Linked DNA regions of Lonchura striata. The protein of the gene in region 1 interacts with the protein of each later gene in a pairwise test. Links are inferred from orthologs where the notes say so. Each region holds a gene or a part of one and is shown in the gene's direction. Other genes may lie near its edges. The genes, in order: EGFR, PIM1, STAT2 and PDGFRA.

What was found.
Region 2: the proteins of EGFR (region 1) and PIM1 interact in a protein complementation assay, tested with the Homo sapiens proteins (3 studies listed by BioGRID and IntAct, with this or other methods). The link is inferred for Lonchura striata from reciprocal best matches to the Homo sapiens genes EGFR and PIM1.
Region 3: the proteins of EGFR (region 1) and STAT2 interact in a protein complementation assay, tested with the Homo sapiens proteins (3 studies listed by BioGRID and IntAct, with this or other methods). The link is inferred for Lonchura striata from reciprocal best matches to the Homo sapiens genes EGFR and STAT2.
Region 4: the proteins of EGFR (region 1) and PDGFRA interact in binary tests that used the Homo sapiens proteins (3 or more experiments, as listed by UniProt). The link is inferred for Lonchura striata from reciprocal best matches to the Homo sapiens genes EGFR and PDGFRA.

The regions. Positions count from the first base shown.
Region 1 is NC_134603.1:105,542,103-105,549,378, reverse strand, and holds the start of EGFR (epidermal growth factor receptor), read left to right. Parts: upstream 1-4,042; 5' UTR 4,043-4,412; coding exon 4,413-4,518; intron 4,519-7,276. UniProt on the Homo sapiens protein: Receptor tyrosine kinase binding ligands of the EGF family and activating several signaling cascades to convert extracellular cues into appropriate cellular responses.
Region 2 is NC_134632.1:1,741,200-1,748,812, forward strand, and holds the start of PIM1 (serine/threonine-protein kinase pim-1), read left to right. Parts: upstream 1-4,532; coding exon 4,533-4,811; intron 4,812-4,900; coding exon 4,901-4,951; intron 4,952-5,283; coding exon 5,284-5,650; intron 5,651-6,258; coding exon 6,259-6,435; intron 6,436-6,654; coding exon 6,655-6,806; 3' UTR 6,807-7,613. UniProt on the Homo sapiens protein: Proto-oncogene with serine/threonine kinase activity involved in cell survival and cell proliferation and thus providing a selective advantage in tumorigenesis.
Region 3 is NC_134629.1:5,609,427-5,616,550, reverse strand, and holds the start of STAT2 (signal transducer and activator of transcription 2), read left to right. Parts: upstream 1-4,093; 5' UTR 4,094-4,128; intron 4,129-4,469; 5' UTR 4,470-5,070; intron 5,071-5,174; 5' UTR 5,175-5,175; coding exon 5,176-5,306; intron 5,307-5,413; coding exon 5,414-5,564; intron 5,565-5,640; coding exon 5,641-5,739; intron 5,740-5,826; coding exon 5,827-5,919; intron 5,920-6,000; coding exon 6,001-6,079; intron 6,080-6,171; coding exon 6,172-6,257; intron 6,258-6,335; coding exon 6,336-6,484; intron 6,485-6,559; coding exon 6,560-6,718; intron 6,719-7,124. Other genes in the region: protein timeless homolog, read left to right, coding at 1-4, 75-193, 580-718, 797-836, 954-1,054, 1,191-1,312; APOF (apolipoprotein F), read left to right, coding at 1,911-2,792. UniProt on the Homo sapiens protein: Signal transducer and activator of transcription that mediates signaling by type I interferons (IFN-alpha and IFN-beta).
Region 4 is NC_134606.1:26,992,217-27,000,444, forward strand, and holds the start of PDGFRA (platelet-derived growth factor receptor alpha), read left to right. Parts: upstream 1-5,021; 5' UTR 5,022-5,036; coding exon 5,037-5,051; intron 5,052-6,673; exon of another isoform or gene 6,674-6,895; intron 6,896-8,228. UniProt on the Homo sapiens protein: Tyrosine-protein kinase that acts as a cell-surface receptor for PDGFA, PDGFB and PDGFC and plays an essential role in the regulation of embryonic development, cell proliferation, survival and chemotaxis.

The DNA.
Region 1 (7,276 bases):
TCTTCTTTGTGGTGACCAGTGGTGACCAATGTCAGGACCTGAGGGACTGGCTTGGAGTTGTGTCAGGGAAGGTTTGGGGTTTTACCCCCAGAGGGTGGTTGGGCACTGAACAGGCTCCCCAGGGAAGTGGTCACAGCCCCAAGCCTGACACAGTTCAAGTAGTTTTTGGATAACACTCTCAGGCACATGGTGTGACTCTTGGGGTGTCCTGTGCAAGGCCAGGAGTTAGAATCAATGATCCTGATGCATTCCATCCAACTCAGCATATTCTGTGATTCTGTAAATAGTGTTAAGCGAGGAGAGAAAGATAATCTGTGTAAAAATCCATCTATTTTCATCGGGGACACTCTTCAGAAATAGCATGATCCAAGGTTTAAATAGAGCTCTTGAGTGATAACCCTAGCTCTACCACTAAAGCTCCGCCCAAGGCAAATTATTTTACATCTATAAAATGGAAATGATAGGTACTAACCTGCTTTACAGGAGATTTGCAAAGATAAATTACTTAATGTGTGTGCAATATTTTCAACATGCAAAGTGCCATAAAGGTCTATGAATTTTTATCTCAGCCCTTGCTTTAAAACCTGAGTGAGCACTCATAGAATACAAACTACAATGCAAAATACAATGTCAACAATCTCAAACAACATGCAAAATCTGAGCAAACCAGATTGTAAAACTCCGCTAATTTGTCTCCATTTCTTGTCTCTCAGTAAAAGGCCTGACTTTAAAACCACTTTCACCACTTATTTACAGAGAAGAACAGCATCACCATTGAGAAATGGTTGCTGATTAATTTTTTTGCGGGGCAAATGCTGACCCACTCTTGGTGGATAATGAAAAGCAACCTTTTTTTTTTTTTCATGTAAGGAAAGGATCCAGCAGCAGGGATTTTTTAACTCTTGAGAGGGTTTTGAAACTCTATTTTGTTTGGAGGAAATGTGGAAGGGATAGAAGAATTAATCCTGCTTTTTCCACTGATAGGGAAATCAGTTATTCATCCTCTTGCAGCTACTTCTCTCCATGTGTGGCAAAGTAACCAGCTCAGTGGAGCAGGCAAGTGGCGGTGAGTCAAATTTTGCAATCCAGAAGCATGTTCATGTGGAAAAATTACCAGATTACACCATCTTCACTTCACAGGTCAGCATGTTTATGCTTAATATATAGAAGACATGATACATATATATACACACACATACTATAAAGCAAGCAAATCAAAAGAAAGCTGAAGACAGATGTTGCATTTAGTATTTTCATTATGAACTGTCAATTGAAAAATTGGTGATCAAAAGGTTGGCCTTTGTTCCATAACCTTTGATCCATGCACACATGCAGCCAGCAATAAAATTTTGCAACATGAATATTGAATGCCCTTGGTAAAATTCATGTTTGCTTCAGAGGAATTACACCAAAGGCAGTCACTGGGTATGTGACCAGCTGTTTAGGGAAAATGTCATGTTTGAATTTAAACCATTTCAGAAATTGCTCAGTTGGTAAAAAAGGCCTGAAATTCCTGCCTGTGATAAGCTTCTCAAACTTTAGTCTTAGAGTTCCTTTATGTGTCTTGTGACCTTGTCAAGCAGAGTACAATGCCTCAAAAGTAACACATTTGTGCTCACAAAGGTGGGAGGACAGAATTTACAGCAGCTTGCTGTGCAGCCCCTTCTGCAGTACTGCACTGCCAGCAGCAGATGAGAGTCTCCTGTAGTGGGTATCTGAAGCCTGGGAAAAAGATTTAAAGGGGCATTTGCCTAGTCTCTCCTTGCTCACCATGTCAGCAATGAAGGAGGTGTTTAGTTAGTATCGAATACTTGAATTTATGTGTGTTTGTGTAAGGGCAGTACATGATGGAGGGTGAAGCAAGTATGAAATGTTCCTGCCCAGTATATCAAGTAGAATAACAAAAATTCTGCAAAACAAGTGTTTGTTCCTCAACATGTTAGGACAGGATTTGGACCAGTTTATCCACTGAATTCACATGCAAAAATGTTTTCTTTTTTCCCTATGTTTAGTTTGGTTTTCATTTGTCACTTTGAATCCTCTCTTTCTCTAAATTAAAAAAACCCTATTACCTTCTATATTGGTAGCTTGATACCCAGTGTGCATGTCTAGGGGCACTTTTTAACTTACCTGCAGAACTGATTTGAAGTCAATTTCTTGCTTGTCTTAATTGCATTTCCTTTATCATAAGGCAAGCTGTAATCATTAGTGTGTGCTGAGGATGCTCTGCAAATCTTCCCTCCCTAGAAGTTGATCTCTTTTTCCTAGGTTTCTCTCACTTTTAAAGATCCTCCTATTTGTCTAAATAAATGAAAAAGAACCACATACACATAGTGTATATGAAGTTGCACTGTGTGAGAATCTTTGAAATAAATTTGTACTAATATTGCATTGTAAGCTAAGGTTCTGCCCTCAGTTACAGCCATGAAACCAATCACATGAATAGAGCTTCTCGGATGTTGTTAATGTGTGAGTTTACTTCAAAGTACACCTTCCACATTATTTACAAAATATAATTGAACCAGAATGTCAGTTACAGAATGTGAAAGCAGTCTTGTAATGCAACTCATCTTAGTAAACGATTAAAGGCATGTGGCCAGGCATGTGCTAGGATGTGTAAATGGGATGGTAGTTTTCTATGCCTAGTTAGGAGAGCGGCTAGTTAAAGTATCAGAAAAAAAAAAAAAAAGATTTTTCAGAAGAATTTGAGTGGTAGGAGAAGGGTGATGGATCTCTCAAAGAAACATGCATAACAGAGAAAAGTCAAGGTACACTCAGTGACTATTTTGCAATCTATTGTGCTCCAGTACCCTGTGACAGACACAGACATTTAGCACGGAATTTCCCGAACCTCATGTCATTATTGGTTTTAGTGCCGGAGTTCCCACTTAATCACAGCAGTTTTAAGTCTTCATATCCTATTGACTGTGTAACCTAAGCCCTCAGAAGAGCCCTCAGAAGAAATTACCACCGGTATTCAGCAGGTTTGAGTGTTGAATCATGATCTACTCGGAGAAACTCCAACCCAGACAAATGGCACGTCTGTGTCTTATTTACATACCTGAGTGACAAGACAGTGTTTCCTCCCACTTTCCAGAGAAACAGCCTGTTAAAAAACCATAGGAATATTTTAATGAATCCTGAATAGCTTGGGTTTTCCTCTTGACGGAAAGGAGCACCATACTCTTTTGCTTAATGTCTGTGGATGTACTTGGAGCACCTCAGGAACACTTGTGTTATTTTGTGTTTATTAAGTAACTTGCTACGCGGAGCAAGGAGCACTTTCTCAGTGCTGGTGGCCGGGGAACAGAAGCGGTACGGGCAGACAGGGACCCTGTTACCCCTGTGCTAAATTCGCATTAAAACTGAGCTGTTTTATTCCACGCACACACTTGGCCTTACAAGTATTGGGAGTAAAATGACCTGAACGAGAGCAGGACTGTTCGCAGAGGCCAAGTGGGCTCCGCTGATCTCGGGGGGCAGAAATGGGGCCGGAGCCCCGGAGATGCGCCCCTGGGGAGTGGATCGAACCTCCGGAGCTGCTTCCCTGCTCCCGGTAAAGCGCCTCAGCTCTCCCTTGCCCGCACTGCTCCCACTGGAGCTGCGGGGGGACCGTTCTCCCTGAGGAACGGGACGGGACAGAGCTCCTGCTGCGACCTCCCCCGGGACACCCGCACTGCTGTAACCCTCTGCCCCTCCACGACTGCCGGGCGGGAGCACACGGGAAGGCAGAAGCTGCGTTAGCGCCACTCCGCTTTTTTGCGAGCTGTGCCGCAAATGCACGCTCGTGCCTCTGGCAGCTGCCGGGCAGAAACTGCCGGGAAGTAGAAAATCCGCACATACACACCCTGCCGAGCAAGGAGGAACGGCTAAACTGTCTCGTCCCCGCTTCCACCTACTCTCATCCTATATTCCGGGACAGGTGGGGGGCCCGCCTCTTCTCCACCTCGACGGGGCCGGCGCTGCCGGTCTCTCCTCCCCTCTCCTCCTTGCTCCCTCCCAATCCTCCTCCTCCTTGGCGTCCCCAGAGGGAGCCCCTGCGCTCCGCGACCGAGTGGAGAGCGCAGCCGGGCGCACCCCGTCCCACAGCCGGCTCCAGCCGCTCCGCAAGCCCTTGTGCACCGGCCGCCGCCTGTAGCAGGAGGAGCAGAGGTGGGAGGAGGAGGAGGAGGAGGAGAAGGAGGAGGAAGGCAGCAGCCCGTCCGCAGCGGGGCACGCACGTGTGCGCGCAGACCTCGACGGCCGCCCTCCAGCATGCTGCTCGGAGCCGCGCAGGGCAGAGCGCCGGAGAGGAGCTGATCGCTGCCGCGGGAGAAGAGCAGAGGGGAGCAGGAGCGGCTCCGCGGAACCATCCGTGCGCCCGTCCCGTCCGACCCGCAGCCACTGCGCCGAGGGAGCGGCGGTCCCGCAGCATGGGCGGCCGCAGCCCCCTCGCTGCCGCCGGGCCCCGCGGCGCCGCTGTCCTGGTGCTGCTGCTGGGGCGCCTCGCTCTCTGCCTTGCCGTGGAGGGAAAGAAAGGTAGGGGGCCGGGGGGAAGAGGGCAGCGGGGTCCCGCCGCCCTTTGCTAGCTGCGTACTGGGGGACCAGAGAGCCGGCGCTGCGGGCGGCTGCGTTCCGCGGCCTCCCGTGGGGAGAGGCGGAGGGAAAGTCCCAACTACTTATTTCCCTAAGAAAAAAAACAAATCAAAACAAAAAACCCACCCCAAAAACAGAGAGAGGGGAGAAACGGGGAGAAGACTAAACCTATAGCAGCGATCACGCAGCCCTGACTTCCTGATTCTTGGTTTATTTTCTTTTGTGGGGGTGGAGGAAATAAAAGGGAATAAGCCTTGGCACATCTCATCGGTTGTGCTTCTTTAGTGTTTCTTTTTTCTTCTTTCCCCCTTCCCACGTTTCCCAGTCACTCCCCGGAGAGCACTTCCCGGCTCAGCCCAGCACAGCCGCTCTCGGCTCCCTTGCACCGGGGCGGCGAGGAAAAGCCGCGGGGTTCCCGAGTAAGCGCCGCTCCGGTAACCCGCTGTCGCACTGACCCGGACACCTCCGCTTGTCCTGTTCAGAAATAGTCATAGTGATAATAGAAAAAAGTATACACCTGGGGAGGAGGTGACTGAAAAAAAGGGAAACTTTGTGTGGGTTCTGGTTATCAGAAAGAGGAGGGATTAATCCCTCCGTCCCGTCCCGTCCCGAGGCTGCCGGCGCTGCCAGCCCCGGCGCTGCCCGCCCGTGCCGGCGGTGCGTGGGAACAGCTCGGCGGGGCTGGCTGTGGGGCAGGGGCGTGGGGCTGCCGCGGGTGCTTGGGTTTTCCTTCTTCAGTGGAGAAGCTGTCTCAGAGGATGAGAAGCCGTTTCTGGCTGGTCAGACCCGTCGCATTTTCTCTGTGTGTGGTGTTCTCTTTTCTAAGTTTGGAGAGCAGGCCCCGGCTGCTGTTCCAGCCGGAGAGCAGTCCTCTTTATCTTGGAAATCTGCCAGCCAGAGGAAAAAATGCAGATTTGGGTGGTTTGGTTTTTCTTCTTTTTCCTTTCATTCTTTTTAAAGAAAAAGCGGGAGAACTATTAGTTTCTAGAAGCCACTGCATGGCTTAGAGCAACTTAAGAGTCTTTTGTGACTGTGAATGGTAAAGCCACCCTGAAAGTGAGGAACACCCCATCCAAAAGAACTAGTTGCACAACTTTTAAAAAGTGGAAAGATTCTCTTGTTCCAGAAATCAAGTTCATACCTGTTGTAGATGTAACATGGGCAGTTTTCTTTCCTGGTTTTCTTTTTATTTATTTATTTTTCCTCACTCTTTGAAGCTGGTGAGAAGTAAAGTGCCTCCCATCTGCTCTGCCTGTCTTTTGAGATGCATTCTCAGGTGCACATGCCCTGTATAATATATTAAGAGTGAGGAGAAATACCTTGTTTATAATGTTTAATTCTGTGTCTCATAAACTTAGGAGGTTGCCAGTTTTTTGAGGATTACTAAATCATCAACGGCTACATGATAAATCCAATAGAGGTTATTCTCAGGATGTTGTGTCCGCAAGTAACTGGGTCCTCTACCAGAGGAACTGAGCTGGATGCTCAGTGGCAGAGGTGGAAGCAGAAGATTTCTTCAGAAAGCATTAATCAATTGATTTGAGTTATTAGTTTCTCCCCACAGTTGAAGATAAGCAAGAAAATTATTCAGAGGCACAAAATGAAGCAGCATCTGAGAATTGAGTGTTACTGATTTGAAGCAACAGGTCCAGCAGGTAGTAGAGGATCAGTGTATGCTTGGGACTGCCTCCTTGGTCAAATGATAAGACCTAGCATCAGATTTCAGAAAAATGCTGAAAGGAAACTTGCTGTCATAAATATATGGAACACTTCTGCAAGTTCAAATCTCATGTGAAAAGACACTTCTTAAAACTTTGACCTGATTTGTTCTATTACCAAAATGACATGTCTTGAAAAAAAAAAAGATGCCTGGGCAGCTGTTAGAAGAACATCAGAATCAGCCTATAAAATCCAATCAACATAATGTTTGAATGGAAATTTAAATACAATTGTGTCTTCTCCCAAAATTGTAGAATTAATGTTCTTGAAGATGGATGAGAGAAACCTGTTTTTGTTGTAACACTGTAGTCATTAAGATACAAACAGAAGCCTAGTTGAACATATTCCAGAACCAAACAGCATTGCTCAAAAGTGAAGTACTCTCAGCACAGGGATCAATACCCACCTCTATATACCTGCTCTGATGTTGACCCATATTATGTGAAGCAGAATTAATCTGGATTTCCACTGATATATCCCGGGAGGCCTGCATTGTGGTACCTGAGATAAATACCTGTGATAGCTGGCATGCCACTTATGCTGGCTGCATTTGACCCGTGTCCTTTGTGTGACAGCGCTCGGTGACAGTGCTACGGTCCAGCAAATTGCTTTTTGTTGCTATATACTGGTTTTATATCTCTAGTTTTGATCTGTAGCTGCAGACATTGTGGGATGGGAGTGTGCAGCTCCGTGTCGGGAGTGTGCATACAGGCGTGCCAGGCGGCTCGGGAGCTGCCAGGGTGGACTGTGGTAGCTTTCTGTACCTGGAGTCTTATACAAAGGACTAAGTTCTTTAAGGGTATCCAAGTATTCATGTCCATGTGAAGTAAAACACTTTTGTCTAATATCCTGTGCAGTGTTTACGTGTGGGCTGTGTGTGTACTTATATTGAGTATTGTCTTGTAGTTTCTGCACTGTGTATTATTCCATGCTTACTTGTGACAGATGCCTACAAGTAGACATCTAGAGTCTTTGTGGATTG
Region 2 (7,613 bases), on another chromosome or scaffold:
GGCACATCCACCACCCCACCATCACCCCGGTGCATCCCACTTTCCCCTGCTGCTCTCGGCAGGAGGGTTTGCTTGTAAACAGCAGCCCCTGGGTAACACTTCTAATCCCTCTCTTGGCTATTATTCATCCCCAGCTAACCTTAAAGCCTCCCCCTTTTTCTCTGCGAGGCACCCCCAGAGCAGAGGAAATTCCTCAGCCCTGACGTGATGTGAAACACGAGCGGCTCGGCCCCAGCCGCCCCCTTCCCTGCCCCAACCTACCCGGGCCATTTCCCAACCCAGGTTTCCCTGTAGCATCCCACTCCCCCCTCCAACTCTTTTTTTTTTTTTCCTCTTTCTTTCCCCAACCACCCTTTTCTGCTTTAGACATTGTAACCCGAGAGGCTGGAAATGCAGCTCCTTTCATCTTCCATTTCCCACATCCTGAGAGTCTGGGGAGAAGGAGCCCACCCAGATGATGGAATCCCAAATATGCGGCTCCTTCCACCTCCCCGATCCCCTCCGCCGCCCCCCGTGAGGCTCTATTCACAAAGCAGATTAGCCATGCTGCCGCCTCCCCGCACACCTCGCCCCAAAAAGCCCGCGAAAAAGCCAACATACAAAAAAAAAACTCCAAAAAAACCCAAAACCACAAAAAAAAGGAAAAGAAAAAACAAACCAACCAAACAAAAAACAAATAAACAAACAAACAAACAAAAAAACAAACAACAAAAAAACCACAAAACAACAACAACAACAAAAACAAAACAAAAAACCCAAAAATTTACAATTATTAAGAAGAAATTGCCACGGCTGCTCCTGCCCAGGGAACAGGATGGGTCTCAGCATCTCCTGTCCCACTCTCAGGTCCCATCACTGTCCAGTGGGAGCTGACACCCAAAATCCTGGGACTGGGTGCTGGCTGAGGGGGTTTTTGGGGAGCTGCAGCAAAAAGTCCAGCCAGGATGTTTCTCCTCCCTGTGCCCCAGGATGTGGGGTGTGGCTCCCAAGCTGTCACCGCTGCCTTGTGGTCCCAGCTGGGTCTGGGGGGACCCTGAGGATGAGGAGGGGAGGGAAAGCAGCACCCTGTGCCTCAGTGGCTCCCAGCACTCATGATCCAAACCCACGGGAGCCCAGCCCTCCTCTCTCCCTCGGGGGGACACTGCACCCCGGGATCAGTCTCATCCTGAGGGATGTCCCCGACCCGCACTGCCACACGAGGAACACGCACACGTTTTATTGGATTCCACGTGTGAGACCCCAGAGCACCTTGCTGCGGCTGTGGGGTGACTTTGAGCACCCCGCGTGGCACACACTGCTGGGTGAGGGCAGTGCCCGCTGCCCGGCTTCTGCCACCGGGGATTGCTCACTGCGGGTAGGTGGGAACATCCTCACTCCCCAACTACCCTCAGGGCTCCCACTGCCAGGCTGGGAGAAGCCCTGGGTGGGCAAAGGGCTCGGTGCCCTCCTCGTGGGGGAGTGGGCATTGCTGAGATGCCTCAAATCCCCTTTTTCCGGGTTCTATCAGGGCCGGGTGCATCGGGAAGAGATGAGGAAGGGTTCGGGCTTCCCCCGGGGACCCGCAGGTCGGTGCCGGGCTTTGCCCCACGCCCTGGGCCAGCCGGTGACCGAGCCCGAGCCGCGGGAGCCGGGGGAGGCGCGGGAGCCACGGGCAGACTCAGCCAAGGTCACGCAGTGTCTCAAAGCTGCTGGTGGAGAGCCACGGTCCTCGTGTGCCACGGCGCTCCTGGCCCCGCATCCTCCTAATCCCGCATCCTCCTAATCCCGCATCTTCCCGGCCCCGCATCCTCTCGACCCTGCATCCTCCCAATCCCGCATCCTCCCGCTCCCGCATCCTCCTTGCCCCTGCATCTTCCCGGCCCCGCATCCTCCCAGCTCGGCATCCTCCCGGCTCCGTATCCTCCCGATCCCGCATCCTCCTGCTCCTGCATCCTCCCAGTCCCGCATCCTCCCAGTCCCGCATCCTCCCGGCCCCGCATCCGCCGGGGGATGCTCGCGGGGCTTCTCCCCGCGCTCCCGGCGGGGCATTGACCTTGCTGTTTTGTTCCAGGACATCAGTGCAAACCTGAATGCTAACCCCTCACCCCAGGCCTTCCTGGGGAGCCTCTCTCTCCTTGCTGGGTACCGCCCTGGCCCTCCCCGTTTTCACCCATTTGCTAATTGTGCTGGCGGGGAAGGCGAGGGGGAAGAAATACAAAAAGTAAACTGCGAAAGCAACACTGCAGCTCCAAGGGCCCAGCACAGCAATCAAGCGATAAAGCAGTAATTAAGCCTGATTATCATGCAAGGCAGCCCCGGTTAGACTGGAATGCCGCTGAAGAGCCTGAAAGCTGCCGGGATTGTTTGCAGGGCTCAGAACCGATCTTTTGATGTCTGCTGGGAGCTCCTCTCCCCCAGACCTGCCATCAGCTCCATATGCCACCCCAGGGTCCTGTCTCTCCCCAGGCATGGCCCTGTTTGGGTTTTTCCTCCTTGCAAGCCTCGCAGTCTCCTCTGGGCTGCAAACTGCTCCCCGAGGGCTCAGGGCAAGAACTGGGGCTGCTCCAGGGATGGACAGGGGCAGGACCCGCAGGACATCCCCGTGTCCCTGCAAGGGCAGGGCGTGCTGTGGATGTGGGCTGCTCCCCTGCACCCACCATCCTCGGCGGCTTTCGTGCCAGGGGAAGAGGGCTGGGCAAAGAAGGGATCCCCAGGGATGAGGGCCAAGTGGGTGAGAGCAACAGGATGGGGTTTGTTTCATTTCAGTTTGAATGTGTGACACATCCCCATGGCCTCGCCCGGGCTGGCAGGGGGAAGGTGAGCATGTGGAAAGGGCTGAGGGTGACTCCTGGCCCTGCTTTGGGGTCATTTCGGGAACAGGAATGCACCTGGGTGGGTTAATCTGGAAAGAGATGGATCTGGCCGGGAAGCGTGGCTGCCTCGCAGCTCCACGCGGCCAGGCCACGGAGCAGGGAGCTCCCCTCGGCTGCCAGGAGGGGTTTCCCCGGTCCAAGGGGACCCAACCCCTGCGTGCCAGCAGGAAGAGACGGCCGCTGACTCAGGGGCAAAGGAGCAGCTGGGCAGGTTTACGCACGAGGATGATTTGGGCCCCAGCTCATCCCGGTTGCAGGCCACGCTGCTCCCTCCGACGCTAATGAGCAGGTTTGGGCAGAGCTGCTTCTCCCGAGGAGTCAGGGACAGGCAGCCCCCGGGAAAGCCCGGCCGCTCCGGGCGAACGCTGTTTGTCAACAGGTTTCCAGGGCAGCTCCTTCGGTGCCTTTCATCATCCTGGCAAAGAATTTGATAATGAGTTCGGGGCCAAATGCTAAGTCACCTCATCCCACGGCTGAGCAGCGACTGGCAGAACCAGTTGTCCCAAATATGCCCTGGCGTCGGGTGGGAATAAGGCAGGAGAAAGGCGCTGCCTGCCCCTCTGCCCCACTCTCAGCTTGCATCACCTCGCATTGCAACAACGATATATTGAAAAAATTTTTAAATAATTATATATTTTAAACAAAGAGGAATGGAAGCGCTGCATCAGATTCTCCACACTTTTCCCTAAACAAAAATGTCACTTTCTGGGTAAAACGGAAGGTAGATTTTCCAGTTTTTGTTTGGCTCAGGTCCTGAAAGAGGATGTGTCACGTTCTGGGTAAATCTAAAAGCGGCAGTGGTGGTGGCGAGTCCTTCCCGGCCACTGCGAGGGTTGGGCCGCAGCTCCAAACCCCATTTTGGGGGTGCATCTTGGTTCTATTTAATCCTTTTTTTTTAACACTAAACGGGACAGGATCTCACAAGTATTTCCAGTAAACCCCATTCGATTTCATGCAATTCATCCCACAAGTATGTGTGGGATGCCAGGAACTCTTCGGTCTTGCTTAGGAGCAGGAGCCCAGATGGGCTTTGTCTGGAATAATTCAGCTCCCAGTGGCTGGAGCTCTTTGCTCTAAATGCTAATAGAGTGAGTAATCAGAGATCTCCATCCAGTAAATTATTTATCTTATCTCTGGAACTCGGGGAGGCATCTCAGCCAGCGACTTCTGCGGAAAAAAGACACGGTGGGGGGGGGGGGGGGGCGGGAACGTAAAAAATAAGGATGTTAGTGAGGAGTCCGCAGCTGGAAGGGCCACATGGCCACTGTTACTGGAAAGGGGAGAAGTTCGGGCGCAGGGGGTGCAGCGGCGGGGCGGCGCGGGGCGCGCCGGCCGCGGTTCGCGGGAAGCGCCAGCGGCGCGGCGGGGCGGGGCGGGGGCGGGGCCCCGTGACCGCGCGGCCCGCGCGCGCCGCCGCCGCGCCCGCCCCCCATTGGCCGCCGGGCGCCGGAGGGGGCGTGGCCCCGCGCCGCAGCCCCGCCTGTCGGGGCGTGCGGCCCCGCCCCCGGCCCCTGCGGCTCGCGGGGCCGGCAGGGGCCGCGCGCCACACGCGGCCGGGCCTCGCGCGGAGCGGCCGCTCGCGCGCGCTCCCCGCCCGCTCCCGCCCCGCGCGCGCCGCCCTCACAGCCCTGCCCTGCCCGGCGCGGAGCCGCAGGTGCCGCCGCCGGCCCCGCCACCGGGATGCTGCTCTCCAAAATCACCTCGCTGGCGCATCTCCGCTCCGGGACCGCCGGGGAGCTGCACCCCGCCAAGCTACAGCCAGGTCAGGGACGCCCGTCCCGGGGGTGCCCGTCCCGGCTCCGGGCCGGCCGGGGCAGCGGGCGGAGCGCTGACGGGCGGGTCTCGTCCACAGGGAAGGAGAAGGAGCCGCTGGAGCAGCTGTACCGGGTGGGCCCGTTGCTGGGGAGCGGCGGCTTCGGCAGCGTTTACTCGGGGATCCGCCTCTCGGACGGCGCCCCGGTAAGTGGCGGGGCCGGCGGCGGGCGGAGCAGGAGGGGGCTCGGCGGGGCGGGCGCCGAGCTCATGCCGCCGTTCCCCTTGGCTCGCAGGTGGCGATCAAACGCGTGGCCCGGGACCGCATCTCGCAGTGGGGCGAGCTGGTGAGTGAGCGCGGCCAGCGGGAGAACCCGAGGCGTGACGGGCGGGGATGAGCGGAGACGCGGGAGGGTGGAAACCGGGACGGCGCGGGGGGAGCGGCTGTGGGGTCACCGGGGGACGCGGCGCAGCCCGGGCCGGGGAATGCCTAGCGCCGATGGGGGCGGGCGGGAGGACACCGGGATGCCCAGGACCGATGGGAGCGGGCAGGGAGACACCGGAGCATCCCCTGGGCGGGGGGATGCCCGCGACCGGTGGGTGCGGGGATGGGGACACCAGGGCTTGCCGCGGGCGAGGCTCGCTGAGCCCCGCTGATGGCAGCGTGGTTTCCCCGCAGCCCAGCGGCAGCCGTGTGCCTCTGGAGATCGTGCTTCTGAACAAGGTGGGCTCTGGCTTCCACGGCGTCATCCAGCTCCTGGACTGGTTCGAGCTCCCGGACAGCTTCGTGGTGGTGATGGAGCGTCCGGAGTCGTCGCAGGACCTCTTTGACTTCATCACGGAGCGGGGGTTCCTGCCGGAGGAGATGGCGCGGGGGCTGTTCCGCCAGGTGCTGGAGGCCGTGCGGCACTGCAACAACTGCGGCGTCCTGCACCGCGACATCAAGGACGAGAACATCTTGCTCGACCTGGCCACGGGCGAGCTCAAGCTCATCGACTTCGGCTCCGGCACCTTCCTCAAGGACACGCTCTACACGCAGTTTGACGGTGAGCCCAAAGCCGGGTGCGCTCCCGGTGCCGGGCGTTGCGCGGCCGGGCCGGGCTCCGGAGGTTTCCCCGTGGCGGGGGGGGCGGCATGAATTCTGCAGCTGCTGCCAAGTTGCTGTTTGGCACGGGGAGGATGTTGTGAAACGGGAGCCGGCTCCCGGCCCTGCTGACAGCCTCCGTCACCCAGCCTGACTCGGGCTGGGGCGGGGGAAGCCAGCATGACAAAAACACTTTGGTTGTGGGGGAGCAGAGGGGGGGTTTGCAAAACGCGAGCACCAGCCGGGTTGCTTTACAGGTGCGGAAGGGCTGGGGCTTCTCCTCTCCCCTTGTTTGCCTTGGTTTATAATTTTAATTTTTTTTTTGCCATTGCGCGGAGGGGGGGAAAGGCGTGGTTTTTCCCCACCCGTAGGTGGGTTTTTTCCTCGCGTGTAACGGCCGGGCCTTCCCCGGGCCCTGCTGCCCTCTTCTGGCACCGGCGTTTCCCTTTTACAACCCAAAGTTTGTAAACAAGAGTCACGTGCTGGCGGGAAGGCGGGCGGGTCACGCCGGGTGCCAGCGACGCCCAGGGATGCTCGGGCGAGGGCTTGATGAGCTCCCGTGTCCCGCAGGAACGCGGGTGTACAGCCCCCCGGAGTGGATCCGCTTCCACCGCTACCACGGCCACTCAGCCACCATCTGGTCGCTGGGCGTCCTGCTCTACAACATGGTGTGTGGGGACGTCCCCTTCGAGCAGGACGAGGACATCATCCGGGGCCAGCTCTTCTTCCGACGGCGCATCTCTCTCGGTGGGTACCCGGCTCGGGGGTGATGGGCTGGGGGAGGCAGCAGGGAAGGGCCCTCATGTGCCCTGGGTGGCTGCAGGAGGTGGCACATGTGCTGCCAGCCTGCTCTGCTGCCAAGCACAGGGTGGATGGGGAGGGCTGGGCACAGCTCGGGCACTGGGCGGTGGCACAGGGTGGACGGGAGCCTGCTCTGACTGACCCTGCTGCTGCTGTCTCTGCCAGAGTGCCAGCACCTCATCAAGTGGTGCTTGTCCATGCGCCCCTCGGACAGGCCGTCGTTGGAAGACATTTTCAACCATTCTTGGCTGCAGGACATTCACCTGGAACCAGCTGAGATCCACCTGCACAGTTTGATCCAGGAGCCTGACAAGTAACAGCTGCATGCAGCTCCTGGTCATAAGAAGCAAAGAAAACCAGACTTTTTCATCTTGACCATAGCGATGAGCAAGGATCCTCAGATGTTCTCAGATGGGAACGTGCACATCTTGCCCTGGAGCTGGGCTGAGGACCTGCTCTTCCAAGTTCCAGTAGCCACCATCCAAGCCAGCTGTCCTGGACTCCATCTGAATGACTTTGTCTCTTCTGAGATTTTACCAATAATTTTTTTTTGACTGGTTTTGGAGGCTCTCAAGTGTCATCTTGACCTGCTGAATTGGATGACCTGACTGCAAGAAAAGCTTCAATGGGGGAAAACTGTGGGGAGGGCAGGGCCTGTGGCAAAGTGGCTGTCCCTTCTTACTGTCCCTTCTCCCTGTCCCCATGCTTGTGTGCCTTCTGTTTGATCTGAGCTGTACTGGAGGAAAGACTTGACTTTTCCTACAGTGCTGCTTTTCTGAGACTCGCCTGGGCCTATAGTTCCTTTACTCTTTTAAAAAAGGAAATAGGTGAGAAGATGCTTGGGAACCAAGTGGGTTATGCCTCGCCTCCTGTGCCTCCATCCCACACGGGTTTTCTGGGGTTCTTTGCTTCTCTGTGCCCTCACGAATGCACAAACAATGCAAACCAACAGCTGTAAATGTGTACATAGTTCTACAGGAGCAAAGCTTGATGTACAGTTGTGAATAGTGATAACATTTTGCCTTTTTTCTCATTTCCAGTTTTTGTTAATTTATTTTCATAAATTTGTTGTTTGTTTGTTTTTTAAAGGAAGTGTTCTAGCCGCTAGAATAACTTATTTATTT
Region 3 (7,124 bases), on another chromosome or scaffold:
GACGGTGAGCGGGGCGGGGGGCGGCCGGGGGGTTCTACGGGGTCGGGGTCCCGCTGACGGCGCTCCCGGCCCAGGCGTGTCCCACCCGGTGCCGCTGGTGCCGCTGACGGAGGAGAACGAGGATGCCATGGAGGACCGGCGCTTCCGGGCCCTGCTGCGGCAGCTGGGGCTGCGGCCCCCCGCCAGCGAGCAGGTGAGGTGCCCACCCGTCCCTGTCCCTATCCGTCCCTGTCCCCATCCATCCCTGTCCCCATCCATCCCTGTCCCCGTCCATCCCTGTCCCCATCCTCGTCCCCATCCATCCATGTCCCCATCCATCCTTGTCCCCATCCCCGTCCCCATTCATCCCTGTCCCCATTCATCCCTGTCCCCATCCCCATTCATTCCTGTCTCCTTCCCTGTCCCCATCCCCATCCCCATCCATCCCTGTCCCCATCCCCATCCATTCCTGTCCCCATCCCTGTCCCCATCCCCATCCATCCCTGTCTCCACCCATCCCTGTCCCCATCCCTGTCCCCATCCCTGTCCCCATCCCCTGGCTCCCAGCACAGCCCTGCCATGTCCCCCCTCTCTGCCCAGGAATCCTTCTGGCGCATCCCGGCCGCCCTCACCCCGCAGCAGCTCCGGCGTGCAGCCGCCTCCATCGCCCACCGGGGCCCCTCGGGGTCCCCCCCGGACCCGTCAGAGCCGCCCAGCTGCCCCCAGGACCCGGCTCCAGGTGAGGGGTGGGGCTGGGGGGGGTGTGGGACCCCCAGGTGTGGGGCTGGCTCTGAGCCCCCCTCCTTGTGCCCCTCAGCAGAGCCGCTACCGGCGGGGCTGGGATCAGACTCGGAGAGGTGAGAGCCGACTTCCCTTCTCCGTTTGTGGGGTCCTGGTTTGGGGGGGTCTTCTCCCTGCCTGGGGAGGGGATTTGGCCCCCCGCATGTGGGGCTGAGCGGTGCCACCCTCTGCAGCGAGGAGCCCGTCCCCGTCCCCAGCCCAGTGCAGCCGCGCACCAAGAGGCGCCGGGAGCTCGCCAGCGAGGACGAGGATGAGGATGGTGGTGGGAGCTCAGGTGGGTTCAGCCCCTCTGCTTGCTTCTGAGGGCTGAGGGTCCTCTAGGTGTCTGCTGGGTCGGGGTTCTGCTGTCCTTGTCCCCTTTACCACACCCCTGGGGGGCTCAGCCCTCTCCCCTCTCCATCCATCCACAGGCACCGAGCTGGCCCCACCAGCTCCCCGCTCCGAGGAGGATGAGGAGGAGGAAGAGGATCCACAGCCCCGGGGGAGGCGGAAGCGCATCCGCTGCTTGGAAGAGGAGGAGGAAGAGGATTGAGTGGCTTCCCATACCCTGCCGGTGCCCAGGCCTTGTGCTGTTTTCTGGGCTTTTTGCAGATTTTGTTGGATTTCTGCAGTTTTTCTAGGGTTTCTACAGGTTTTCTGGGGTTTCTGCAGATTTTCTTCTGCAGGTTTTGATGCTGTTTTTAAAGGCTGCACAAGCAACCAGTTTCTCCACCTTCCCCCACTTCCCCTGGTGTCACCATCTCCCTGTTTTACCCCAAGTTTCCTCTTTTTCCTCAGCTGTTGGGGTTTTTCTCCTTCCTAAAACTTTTTAAATCTGGACAGGGCCTAAATAAATAAAAGTGACTTTTGTCCTCCTTGGGTGTGTGCGGGTCTGCAGGGGGGCTGGGGGCTCGAGCCGCGCTGGGCTCAGGGAGCGCCGGGTCCCTGTCCCCGCGCCGGACGTGTCGCAACTCCCGGATAACAGCGGCTATAAAGCGGTCACGGGGCCGGCGCGGCCGCAGCGGCCGGACGGGGCAGGGACAGCGGCGAGCGGGTGAGCCGGGGCACGGGGGAGCCACGGGGGGCTGCGCCCGCGGGGCTCTGACGGGGCTTTGTCCTTCTCCCACCTCCACAGACCCAGAGCCGCCACCATGGCCCGCGTTCTGCTCTTCCTCCCGCTCCTCATCCTCAGCCGTGCCACGGCCGTGTCCATCATCACCCCTGGGCCGGCTGCCGGTCAGCGGGCGCTGCCGGCGCCGGCGGAGCCCGTCGCGCCGCGGGCACCGGGGGTGCCGTGCCAGACCCTTCTCCCCGACGCCCTGCCCGGCTTCTCGCGGCTGCCGCCGCTGCCCCGCGGCCTGGCCCGTGCCGCCCTGGCGCTGGCGCTGCGCGGGGCCGGCTGTGCCCCCCAGGCCGAGGCCGAGGCGCTGGAGCTGGCTCGGGAGCTGGGGACCCCCGCGGCCGCGGCGCTGCTGCGGGGGCTGGCGCGGGTACCGGGCGCCCGGGCGCCGCGGCCGCTGGCGCTGCTGCTGCTCAGCCTGGCACGGCCGGGGGGCTCCGCCTGCGTGGATCCCACCCAAGCCCGCAGCCCCGCGCCCGGCACGGAGCCCACGCCACGCTTGGGCCAGGCCGGCCGGGAGCTGGCGGGGGTCCGGCCGTGCCGCGGTGCCGCGCGGCGGCGGCGGGAGGACGAGGACGCCTGCAGCCCGGCGGGGGAGCGCGAAGCCCACCGGGTGCTGGACTGGGTGCCGGGAGTCAGCGTCTTCTACAACCTGGGCACCAGCGTCTACTTCGCCTTCCAGGGCTGCGAGGCCGTGGCGTCCACGCGGGCGCTGCAGGCCGCCGAGGAGCTGGGCTACGCCGGGCTGGCCGCGCTCACCGGGGGTCTGGGGGGTCCCGTGGCCTTGGGGGTGCAGCTGGGGCTGCAGCCGGGGCTCAAGGCCGGCGTGCGGGCGCTCGTCGGGTACTTCACCTCGGCCGGGGAGCCCGCGCCGGTGCCCACTGCCCACAGCGGCGCCGTGGTCATCGTCTGAATAAAGGCCACGTGTGGCAGCCGGCGCCGGGTCGCTGTTTGGGGCGGCTGGGGACGGATCGATGCGGGGTCACCCTGGCCTGGGGCAGCCGGACCTCGGGCACGTGGTGGCAGCTGGGCTGGGCCTGTCCCTGTGTCCCTCGGTGGCTCCGTGCCTGTCCCTAAAGCCCCACAGCCACTCAGTCCCCGTGGCCACACTGCCTGGTCCCTGTCCCCAGGGCTCGTTCCCTCTCTCCCTCCAGCCTCTCCCTGTCCACAGGGCTCGGTCCCTGTTATCTTGGCCTCCCCCTGTCCCCAGGGCTCTGTCCCCAGGGCTCTGTCCCCAGGGCTCTGTCCCTGTCATCTTGGCCTCTCCCTTCCCCAGGGCTCTATCCCTGTTCCTATAACCTGTTCCTATAGCTCCGTCCCTGTCCTTGCAGCCTGTCCCCCGGTCCCCTGTGTCCCTGTCCCGGTCCCCTGTGTCCCTGTCCCGGTCCCCCCGCCCATCCCGGTCCCCTCCCTCCCTGTCCCGGTCCCCTGTGTCCTGTTCCGGTCCCCTCCGTCCCTGTCCCGGTCCCCTCAGTCCCTGTCCCTGTCCCCCCCGTCCCTGTCCCGGTCCCCCCGCCCATCCCGGTCCCCTCCGTCCCTCTCCCTGTCCCGGTCCCCTGTGTCCTGTCCCGGTCCCCCCGTCCCTGTCCTGGTCCCCCCCGTCCCTGTCCCGGTCCCCCCGCCCATCCCAGTCCCCTCCGTCCCTGTCCCGGTCCCCCGGTCCCCCCCGTCCCTGTCCCGGTCCCCCCCAGTCCCTGTCCCGGTCCCCGGTGTCCCTGTCCCGGTCGCCCCCGTCCCTGTCCCGGTCCCCCCCGTCCCTGTCCCGGTCCCCCCCAGTCCCTGTCCCGGTCCCCGGTGTCCCTGTCCCGGTCCCCCCAGTCCCTGTCCCGGTCCCCCCCGTCCCTGTCCCGGTCCCCCCGCCCATCCCGGTCCCCCCGTCCCTGTCCCGGTCCCCCCGCCCATCCCGGTCCCCCCGTCCCTGTCCCGGTCCCCCCCGTCCCTGTCCCGGTCCCCCCGCCCATCCCGGTCCCCCCGTCCCTGTCCCGGTCCCCCCGCCCATCCCGCGCCGCCGCCGTTCCCGCCCCCGCTCCCCGCTGGCCCCGCCCACTGAGCCCGCCCATTGGTCACACCCATCCACTAGCCCCGCCCACTACGCCCCGCCCCGCGTGACGTAAATTTGGGGAAATGAACAAACGGGCCCAGAGGCGCCGCGCGCGGGGGCGGGGCCTCGGCGCCGCTCTCCGCCAATCAGCGAGCAGAGCTGGCAGGGGGCGTGGCCAGCCCGCCTTCCTGCTCCGGTGCCGGCGGAGGTGGGTCGGGGGTCCCGGGGCACTCCGGGGCGGGACACGGGCGGTTCTGGAGCCCGGGAGAGCCCGGGGAAGGGGGGCACAGGCCGGGGACCCCGGCTGGGGCACACAGAGCGTCCCCTGGAAGGCTGTCGCGCTGGGGCGGGGGGCGGTCAGGGACACCCATCCCACTGGGGGGGACCCGGGGGGCGCCCGAGGGGTCCCATGGGGGTCCGGTCTAGGGGGTCTCTGAGGAGGGGCCTGGGGTGGTGCAGAAGGGGGGCTGGGGGCCCTGCTGTGGGCGTTCTGTGCCCCCCGCCCCGGGTGGGGAGCCCCCCTCGGCTCAGCCCCTGCTCCCACCGCAGGACGCGGCTGCCGGTCCGCGGCCACCCCAGCGGGAGCTGCCGGGGCTGCGGCGGGGCAGGGGGACCCTCGGGACCACCCAGAACCCGAGCAGAGGGACCCTCGGAACCACCCAGAACCGAGCACAGGGACCCTCGGAACCACCCAGAACCTGAGCAGAGGGACCCTCGGAACCACCCAGAACCGAGCACAGGGACCCTCGGAACCACCCAGGACCCGAGCAGAGTGACCCTAGGGATCAGCCAGGACCGAGCAGGAGCTGAGGGACCCCCGGGACCACCCAGGACTGAGCAGAGGGACCCCAGGGACCGAGCAGGAGCTGAGGGACCCCTGGGAGCAGCCAGGACCGAGCAGGAGCAGAGGGATCCTCGGACCACCCAGAACCCGAGCACAGGGACCCTCGGGACCACCCAGAACCCGACAGAGGGACCCCCGGGACCACCCAGGACTGAGCAGAGGGACCCCAGGGACCGAGCAGGAGCAGAGGGACCCCCGGGACCACCCAGGACTGAGCAGAGGGACCCCCAGGACCACCCAGGACTGAGCAGAGGGACCCCAGGACCGAGCAGGAGCAGAGGGACCCCGGTCCTGTGCTGCAGGCAGGTACGTGGGGTGCAGCGGTGCCCACCTGGCGCCCGCGGGTGTTCCTCCGGTCCCGGCGCGGCCGGGGCACGGCCCGGGGCGCCGCTGAGCCGCTGTCCCCGCAGCATGGCGCAGTGGCAGGAGGTGCAGAGCTTGGCCAACACCTACCTGGAGCAGGTGCACCAGCTGTACGCGGGCTCGGCGCTGCCCATGGCCGTGCGGCAGTCCTTGGCCGCCTGGATCGAGAGCCAGAACTGGTACCGGGGGGGGGGATCCGGGGCTGGGGGCGGCTCCGGGGGGCACGGGCGGGGCCGTGCCCGTGCTGAGCCCGTGCTGAGCCCGTGCTGAGCCCGCGCTGCCGCAGGCGCCAGGCGGCCGAGCCGCTCTGCTCGCACGCCCGCATGCTGTTCCACTCCTTACTGGTGCTACTGGGAGAGCGCCTGGGCAGCCTGGGCTCGGACCGCGAGGATTTCATGCTGAAGCACAACCTGCGCAAAGCCCACCGCGACCTCCAGGTGGGCTCCAGGGCCGGGGGGGGCGCGGTGGGGAGGGGTCTCCGCGCCGCGCTGACCCCCCCAAGCCCCTCCGCAGGCCGAGTTCGAGGAGAAGCCGGAGACGTTCGCCAACCTGGTGGCCAACCTGCTGCAGGAGGAGCGGCGGATCCTGCGCCTGGGGCAGGCGGGGGGGCAGGTAGGGCAGGGCAGGGTCCCCCGCCTCACCCCACAGGCGCCGGGGGTCCCGCGGCCGCTGCCCCACACCCCGTGTCTCCCTGCCTAGGGGGGTTCGGCCCCCGCGCCCACCCCAGCCCCGGAGAACGGCCGGGAGCAGCAGATCCAGCAGCGCTTGGGCGACTTCCACAGGGCCCTGCAGGTAACCCCCCGCCACCCCCCGCGACCCCCGCCGAGCCCCCCGGGGGCTGCCCGGCCCCTCCTGACCCCCCTGTGTCCGCAGGAAGCCGAACGAGCCTTCAGGCACCTGGAGGATTTGCAGGATGCCTTTGACTTCTGCTTCAAGGTGCACTACCAGCCAGGTGAGCCCCACGCTGGGGAGATTGGGGGGTGGGCACTGCCCTGCGCCCCCTCCGAGCCCCCCAAAACCCTGAGCCCTCTCCCCTGCCCGCAGATGGGGAGAGGAACGGGGACCCCGAGTACATGCAGGAGCTGAAATCCCTCGAGGACAAACTGAAGAACCTGGACCAGCAGCGCAAGGTGAGGGGGGCTCGGGGCGGCCAGGCTGGGTTTTGGGGGGGCACCGTGCACCCCGCTGAGAGCCACGTCTCCCCCCAGGAGGTGCTGGCTCAGATGCAGCAGCTCCTGAGGCGCAGCGAGACGCTGCAGGAGCTGCTGCAGCAGGAGCTGGGGGACTGGCGGGCGCGGCAGCAGCGCCAGTGCATGGGGGGCCCCGGCGACACCAACCTGCGCCCGCTGGAGACCTGGTAGGGTTGGGGGGCTCGGGGGGCTCGGGGTGGGGGGCTGCAGCCGGACCCCTCCGAGCTCCCTGACCCCCGCAGGTTCACGGAGCTGGGCCAGGGGCTGTTCCAGCTGCGGCAGCTGCTGCGGGCGCTGGGCGACCTGCGGCAGAAGGTGACCTACGCCAGGGACCCGCTGGTGACAGAGACGCCCCTGCTGCAGCAGCGGCTGCAGGAGCAGCTCACGCACCTGCTCAGGAGGTGAGCTGGGCTCTGAGCGGCTGCGGCGCTGCCAGGAGGGTTCTGGGGGTGGAGATCAGGGAAAAATCCTCCCCACCAGGGTGGTTGAGCGCTGGGGAAGCTCTCCAGGGAGTGGTGACGGTCCCGAGGTTGTCAGAGCTCCGGGAGAGTTTGGACAACGCTCCCAGGCACAGGGTGGGATTTTTGGGGTGTCTGTGTAGGGCCTGGAGCTGGGGTCAAGGGTTCTGGTGGGTCCCTCGCAGCTCTGGGTGTAATTCAGGAGGTCGGGGGGGTCGGGGCAGTGCTCTCAGGGATTTTGGGGGAAAGTTTGTGGTGTCCTGTGCTGGGCTGGACTTTGATCCTGATGGGTCCCTTCCAGCTCTGGATGATTCGAGAGGTCAGGGAGAGGTTGGACAATGCTCTCAGG
Region 4 (8,228 bases), on another chromosome or scaffold:
TTTTCCTCTACGCCCTAAAGAGACATCTGATTAATCCATGATGAAAACCTGGGGCCAGCCAAGAGAATGACAAATGTCCTTGTGATTTCACTGGGGCTTAAAGCCAGACCTAGCAAAAATTGATCAGCATCTTCTCATCACCTGCAATCAAATTATGGTGACATATTTTCTCTGACGGGCATGGGCCTAACAAATGCAGTGACAGTGGACGTAGAAAGTGTTAAATGTAATCTGGTTTTCTTACAGAAAATTGTGTAGCAATTTATAGTATTTCAGCAATCCTCTAGGAACTCCTTGCAGAGGTTGCTTTCCAGGGATACTAAGGAACCTGACAATTGCTCCTTCTCAATGTGTTGAGCTTAGCAGACAGGTAACAAGGTGTGCACCATAAAAAAACCCCATGTTGAATAAGGTGTAAATTCAGAATTATTTCAGTGCTTGTGTTGTGGCTAGAACAGTGAAATTCATTACTTCAACAGCAAGCAGAAGTCTGCAACTGCCACAGCAGCACTCGTATCTTTTTAATATAATTTGTTTTTAGTTTGGGCAGGGTCCTGCAAAATTAAAAGTTTCTGTACGTAACATTTTAAGCAGAGTTGCTTGTCAAGGGTTAACTTGGTCAGTGGAACCTAAGTGAAAGTTTTAAAATACTGCTGTCATAGAGAACAAATGCCTTCAAAGCGTCTATAGCATACGTTATTTAAAAGAACACTGAAATAAAGTCCTGGTTTTAATTATTTTTCTTTGCAGAACTTCTCTAACTTTATTGCCAAAGAAAAGACTTCCAGAGCCAGTTTTTAATCTTAATTATACCAGATTCAATCTGGAATGTTTCCCTTGAAGTTAGTTACACCAGGTTTACACAAAGCAGGATCTGGCCCAGTTTCTACATTATACTCATTCTCAAAAGATAATTAGATTAAAAAGCAAAATATCTGGCTAAAAAAAGCCATCAGTATAAGGATGATAATGTAACTAAATGCTGCTGTATCCTCTGCTCTTGAGCCACATCAGAGCTTTCCTGTCAAAGTCTGAACTGTAGCTTCACATGCATGGCCACAGGAACCTTTACCTGCATTTTCCTCTCATTTCACACTCTCACTTCTCTCTCCAAGACCACCTTGCTCAAGAGGAGTGCATATAACTGAGTTCTCTAAAGGATTGTCAACAACAAACAGGCAAATTATTATGTAACTGAGGCAGAAAATGCTCTCTGCAAATTACATGAGGTACAGACTAAAACAAGTTGATCTTGGAGAAAAAGGCCAAATAGTCTTTTGGAGAAGACAAAAAAAAGAGAGGAACTGTTTCCCTTGACATTTCAATATTTCAGTCTCTCCTGTGTCTGAACTAAAGAAAGAAAAATGAGAACATGGGCATTGGCTACTTCTTTGAATGGCTTGAGGTGTGATTGGTGCCTGCTTGATTCCTTCCATCACTGATTAGGGCCACAGAACCTTGAGTACAGGGGACAAACAGTGCTGCAAGAAGAATGAACTTGTGATTCATGTCTCCTGCTGACATACCTCCAGCATAATCTTGGTAAATTTGAGTAAAATGACTGAACAAATTCAGTGACTAAGAGGAATGCCTACATTTACTTCCAGGTCTGGAACCTTTTGCTGACTCAACAACATGGATGCTGTCTCTTGCAACTCTTAGTGGTGGCTCCACACAAACCCCAATTCAGCAAGCTCTTAGGAAGCATTAATGCCTTTCCATCATCTCAGTCCTTGGGATGGGGAAGATCCATGTTCAGAAACACTCCATGCCACAGAAATAGAGGGACAAGGTTTTGTTTGCAGGGGTATTTTGGAGCATGAAAGATCGGGTGAAGAGAGGGATCCTTTTAGAAACCTAATTACAATTCATTAATCTTGGCTGTAGCTCCAGTATTTCCACAGCAAATCACCCCAAAGGTGTGTATTTATCACTAAGTATCAGAAGAAAACCTGTTGTTGGATGAAGCAGAAAAATGACATCCCTTGCCTGGAACAAGGGGGTTCCGGGTACTCAGTAACAGATGTGTTTCTCTCCTCAGTCTGACACTTTATGATGCTCAGCCTGTCTTGGCTCTTCAGTGCCCACAGTAGGAATGTATGGTGGACGGGAGCAGCCCAGGCATACGCGGGGACCGACACAGACGCGGACGCTGGCACATGCCCACTGTGTCGCAGTGACCACGGCCGCGACATCCAGGGTGGCCTCCATACCATGCGGCTCCCCCGTGCAGAACTCAGGGCTGGGTTCCCAAGCACAGTAGCCCGAGGGGAGCAAAGCTGGTACTAATAGTAAATAGCTGCAGAACGAAAGCAGCTTGCTCTGGCTGTGGTTTTGTCCTGCTGTAATCCATTAATTGCTGCAGCTCGAAAGAACAAAGGCAGAGATAATGGTCTCGGGAGTTACGAACCGAAGTCAAACCTGGGCTGAATCAGCAGACGACCCTTTGATTTCAGAGGGAAAACTTATCATTTGTGGCACGGGAGGAATTTATCTCTCTGCTTTGCTTGCCACATCCCCCGAGCGGCTGAGGCGGGTCCGGGCCGGCCCTACAGGGCTGGAGCCATCAGGCTCCCGGGACGGCGCCTCTCGCCATGTTCTCCGAGCCGCCCGGTCGGTGATGAAGCGCAGAGGCAGCGGCGGCTGGCGGGGCGCGGTGCCGCGCCGGGCTCGGCCGCCGCTCCCGCGGGCTCCGGTGCCCTCTAGTGTCGCGGGGGCGCTGGCACTGCCCCGCGCCCTCGGCCGGCGCTGCAGGCACCCCGGCCGCGCTGCCTCCCCTCCCGTCGGGGCGGCGGCTCGGCCGGGGCCGCGCTCCCCGCCCGGGGGTCGGGGCGGGGCGCGGAGCCAGGCGCGGCGAAGGGCCAGGCGGGTACCAGCCCCTTTCCCCCCTGCTTGGCCTCGCCCCCGAACTGCGTCCAGCCTGCTTCTGGACCACAGCGGGCTGTTTATTCTGTCGCAGTCAAAAAAGTCAGGGCGGGAGCAAAAGGGAAAACAGTCTGTTTTTTAAAGAATAAGGCGTCCACGGCTCTTTTGGCGTCTTTTAATGTCGAGAGCCAAACGCAACAATGAAAGCAAAACAGCTCGACGTCGTGGCAGCAGCGGCCTCGGTGGGGAAACGGCGGGCATGGGGAAGGAAAACGATAGTACGGAGAACTACCTCGAACAGCCATGTGGCAAATAAAAATAAAGGCTAGGGAGGGCAGGCTGGGCAAAGTTAATTTCTTTTTGTCTGGCTGCCTGTCCTCCCAGTGACACGGGATCCCTGCTATTCAGAGCCAAATTTTGTTGAACAAACAAAATGAGGGAATCTGTACTCGTGGAAAGATGGAAATAAATAAAAATCTAAAAATCTGGCAGGACTGTAAATGTACACAAGACCCTCCCACCGCCAGAACACTTTTCCCGAAGGGGCTCGGGCCCCTGGAGTTTCCGAGCTTAGCTCGCCTTCCTAGGCGAGGCAGCCTTCACCGCTGTACTCTCTTTCCTAGGCGATAGATGTGAACACAGATGTGAGGCTGCTCTGCTTTCTCCCTCTCTCAGGGGTTGAGGGGTCTCTGCTTCAGGTTGTAGCTGCTCTTCACGCAGGGGCTTCCTGCTCTAAAAGGGAAAAAAAGGATGACTACTGCTCCGTGCACCGCTGAACGTGGGTAACGATAATTAAACCCAGACAAGCCTTCCCATCCAGTCAAAAGGCTGCGGCCCCTCAGCGGGTGTTCCAGCGGAGCCCGGGCCGGGGCACCCTCGCTCGCCTGCCCGGTCCCGCTGGTGGCCACACCAGCCACCTATTAGATTGTTCAATAGGCTTAACCAGTTAACCGCTGCCGGCTCACCCTTGGGAGAGAGCCGCAGGAAACGCTTTATTACTTGAAACAAATTGTGATTTCTCCAGGGAGGGGGATGCTGAGCGAGGGAGAGGGGAAAGGGGCCTCGAAGGCTCCCAGCCCCCCTGGAAGCGTCTGAGAGTGGAGAGACCCGCCCCGCAATAACCCGAGCCGTCGGTGCTCCCGCTGCCCGGACTCTGACGGCGCCGCGGGCCCGGGGAGGGGGACACACACACCCGCCCACCCCGGGGGGCAGGTTGGCAGCATAAACAGGCGAGAGCGGCTCTAGCACGGGCGCCGCACTTCGTCTGAGACGTGCAGCTTCCATCTGGTACCACATAAACACACGTTAACGGGATGCTTTATGCTCCAGCCCTTCAGGGGAGGGGAAGGCGGGAGGACAGGGGAGATGTAAAAAATCCCCCACCCCCAGCCTGTCCTCTCGCTAACCCCATGTCCCCCTCGCCTCCGTGGACGGGACCCCCCTGCACCACACGGGGCGGGAGGCAGAGCTCAGCAGCCGTCCTGGAGGGTTTATTTTAACTACCACCTCCCCAGCGCGGGACCAATCCATAGGCACCGCCGGATCCCTCTCCCTGAGGGAGGAGCGGGCAGAGCCCAGCTCCCGCCGGCTCGGTGCTCCTGGGGTGGCGGGCGTGGGGAAGGGAAAGCTACGTCGGGGAAAGCTTTCCCCGGAAGGGTGCCTGAGCGACGGTACACCTCCGCCACTGTTTCCGCAGAGCCGTCGGGCCCCCGCCCGAAGGGCCAGACTGGCCTAGCAGGCAGCCTTGCCAGTCGCCTAGTTTAAAATTTTTATTTTTGGCTGGGTCTTGTGAGATCCCACGTGGAAGCCGTTAACGACCTCTCGATAATGATCGTGACAAAGGCATTATTCAAATGAGGCAGGTAATTGCAACCAGAAGGCGCCTCCTCCCCTTCCATTTTGCTCCTTTCTTTTCGAAAGAGTAATTCTCGCATTACATCCCATCCTGATGGTATTTCGCCAGGAATCACCCCGCGTGTTGAACCAGATACACTCACGCCGGTAACATCGCGGCCCGAGCCCTGCAGGATCGCCCCGGCGCATAGGCAGTTGATGCTCATCTTTGAGGGGTTTAAATTTGCGAGAGCCCGCAGCTCTGATCCAAGTAATGATAAAGCATTTCCCCCTACAAATTAAGGGGTTCAGGATGCTGGGTGCTCTCGCACTCTCAGATGGAGAATTCCAGGGTACGGTGTGGGTTTTTTTTCTCCTGTGTTGTTTGTTTGTTTGGTTTGGCCTTTTTTTTTTTTTTTTTTTTTTCCTTTCCTCCATGCCTTTTTGACTCACTGCGAGCCTGTTGTTTATTCACAAGCTTTACGGTATCCTGTTAGCATTCCGACCAGGGTCTGCTCATAGATCTGACTCCGATGATTTCCTGGAGGAACATGTGGAAGCAATAGCGGGGTTGTGCACTCACCCGAGCCGAGGATGCACTAGTGGAGGGCGTGCAAAGGGCCGGGAGCGCCGCCGGGAACCTTGAGAGCCCAGACAGGGGTACCTCAGCCCTGAGCGCGCATCCTTGGGAGTTGGTTCTCGTTTCTGCCTCTATTCTCTTTAGGGCATCTTCGTTTCAGAGGCTGAACTCTCCCTCGCTTAGGAAAGAAAAAAACCACGGGGTCCTGGCTCTTGACTTCGAGACGAAATTTTTGTTTAATACTAAATGGGAGAAAGAGGTGTGGGTGGTGGTTGTGCTGGACTGGGGAAGGAAGGAAAGGGGAGAAGCCGCGGCACACAGCTGTGGGGCTGGTGCCCTCCCCAGAAGGCAGGCGGCGAGCAGGGACCGGCTCCATCCTCGCCGTTCCGTTCCTGGGGCTGCACTGCCCCCTCTCCCGCGGCCGCCGCATCGCCGCGCCCCGCTGGCCCCGCTCGCCTCGCTCCGCACGAAGCCTGCAGCAAAAGGGCGGCGAGGGCAGCTCCCCGGCAGCTCCCTCGGCCACCCCTTATCGCCAGTGATAGCGACGGCCAGCAGAGCAGAGATACCCAGTGCTGGTTCCCCGGCGGGGATCAAAGCTCCGTCTGGAGCGTGTTCAAACAGGACGGGCTCGGACGTGCGCTGCCCGCGCCTCTGCCGGCACCTCCGGCTCTTGTCGTGTCCCTGGTTTGGTTATTACTGGGGTCTGTTTGAGCTGGGCAAAGCGAAGGCAGAGACGAAGAGAAGAGTGTTCTCGGTCCCGTCGGAGCTGCGGGCTTTGGGGAGGCTGGCTCTTGGCGAAGGTTACCTTTCGTTGTGTCTTTCATTCATAAATGTTAGCGATTCGTCTCTCCCCCTGTCTCTCTGCGCCTTCTGGTCCTGGCTGGCTCACGGCCGTCCGTGCAGCTTTCTAGCCCAAACCCGAGCGCAGCGGTGTACAAAGGACACGAGGAAGCCGCGAATTCGTTTCCAAATCAAACTCCCCATCCATAAACTCACACGGTAAGCGTGGACATCGAGCGCGGCGCCCGAGCCACCGTCCTGGAGGGTCTGAGGAGGGAAGACTCATTCATGAAATTTGGGAGCACTCTTGAGTTTTCATGAAAGTTTTTTGGGTAATTTTTTTTCTTCTTCTTTTTTTTTTTTTTTTTTTTTTTTTTTTCATTTTCTCCCCCTGCAGTGCAAAACTCCCCGCTTCCCCCTTTCCTCCCCCTCGCCCCTGCCATATGGCCAACCTCCCCCTCCCCTGCAAGGCTGCTGAAATCTGGAGGCAGGGACGGCCCCCCTGCCTGCGTAAGAGCCTCCCTCCGGCGCGCCCGCCTCCGGCCGCGGGGCTGGGGGCGCCGGGCGAGCCAGCACGCTCTTATTCTGAAGGGGCCTGAGGGGGGCTTCATTTCCTGACAGCTATTTACTTAAAGCAAATGATTAGTTTTGGAAGGATGGTCTATAACATTGAATCAATTACGGGACGCGGTTTGTGAGACCATTACAGTCGGATCGGGAGGGAGGGCGAGCGGGAGGGAAAGAGCGCGGCTGAGCAGGGAAAGTCACAAAAGACGTGGACATATTTTGGATGTTTTACAATCTGCAGGATTGGGGCTGCGGATTGTAAAGGAGAAGGTAAGAGGTGCGGGGCATTTTCCCCACCTTTTTCGTTTTTTACACCTTTTCTCCCGCGGTTTTCTCCTCGTTTATTTTTTCCCGTTTTTCTTTATTTATTTATTGGGGGTTTTCTTCGTGTTTTTTTTTTAATTTTTTTTTTTTTTTTTTATTTTCCCCCGATGCTCCGAGCCGAGCGGAGGTCTTCTTTCCGCGGGGCGCAGGCGGTGGGCGCTGGCGACCCCGCGGAGGGGAGTGGGGTGCAGCGCTGCGCCGCGCCGGCCGTCGGGGTGCGGCGGCGAGCAGCGCGGGCAGCGCTAATGACAAACACATTGGGACGGCGGCAGCCACCGCGCCGCATTCCTGCCACGGGGGCGGGAGCGACCCGCCGGGGCTCCGCGGGCAGCGGCGGTGCCCGCCCCAGGGGGGAAAGCGGGGACGCGCACCGACCAAGTAAGCGGTTCCCTCTCTTCTCGCATCCCTCGCTTCCTTCACCCCGCTGCTCTCCCGTCCCTTCCCCCACCCTTTGTTTTTCATCACCTTCCCTCCTTTAGATCCCCTTTCTCACCTCGCTCCCCCTGGCCCGGTAGCCTAAAATGCCCGAGATCCCGAGCGGAGGCACGCATACAACCCCCGAAAGGCGACCCGATCTCCATCCCTGCGCGCCCCGTCTTTTTTTTAAAAAGTGTCTCGGTGAAAGGGAGGATGCTGAATTTAGACAGGGCTGGTACCTGGAGCCTTTCCAGCCTGCAGCTTCTCTCTCAACGGGAGTGCCAGCCCTGCCGTATGCCCTGCCGGACTGCTGGACCCCACTGCCTCCTACCCCGGGAAGGGCAAAGTCTTCGCGGCCACCTTCTGGATTTTGTCAAGCGCAGAGCTGCAAACTTGCCAGCCTCTGCCAAGCTGGAGTCCCCTGGAAAAGTCCTAGGAGCAAGTAGGAAATGGCTTTTTGGCTGTCCACGGCATTGCTCAACATTTTTGGACGCGGATCCCATAGCTCAGGAACCGTTCCAGAGAACAGGACTTGGACGGCTTTTTCTGCAGCAGCAGCGACAAATCTAGCAAGGCAGCAGCAGTCCCAGGGCACGGCCGCCAGCCCCCGGGGCTCGTCCGCACCCCGTCGGGAAGGCGGCTGCGGACCAGAGGCGGGAGCGATGCCCTGGCCCCCATCAGTGCCGGGGGCACGCTCCCAGCGCCCCTCGACGGTATTTTCGGCGCGTCCCTTGCCGATGTTCGAGCTCCCTAGCGCTCCTGCGGGGCCTAAGTCTGCACTCCCGGAGAAGGCAGCGCATCGCCTCGGCCCTTATGGGAACCTGCGAACCCGTTCCCGCGGCTGCGGGCGCATCGCTCCCTC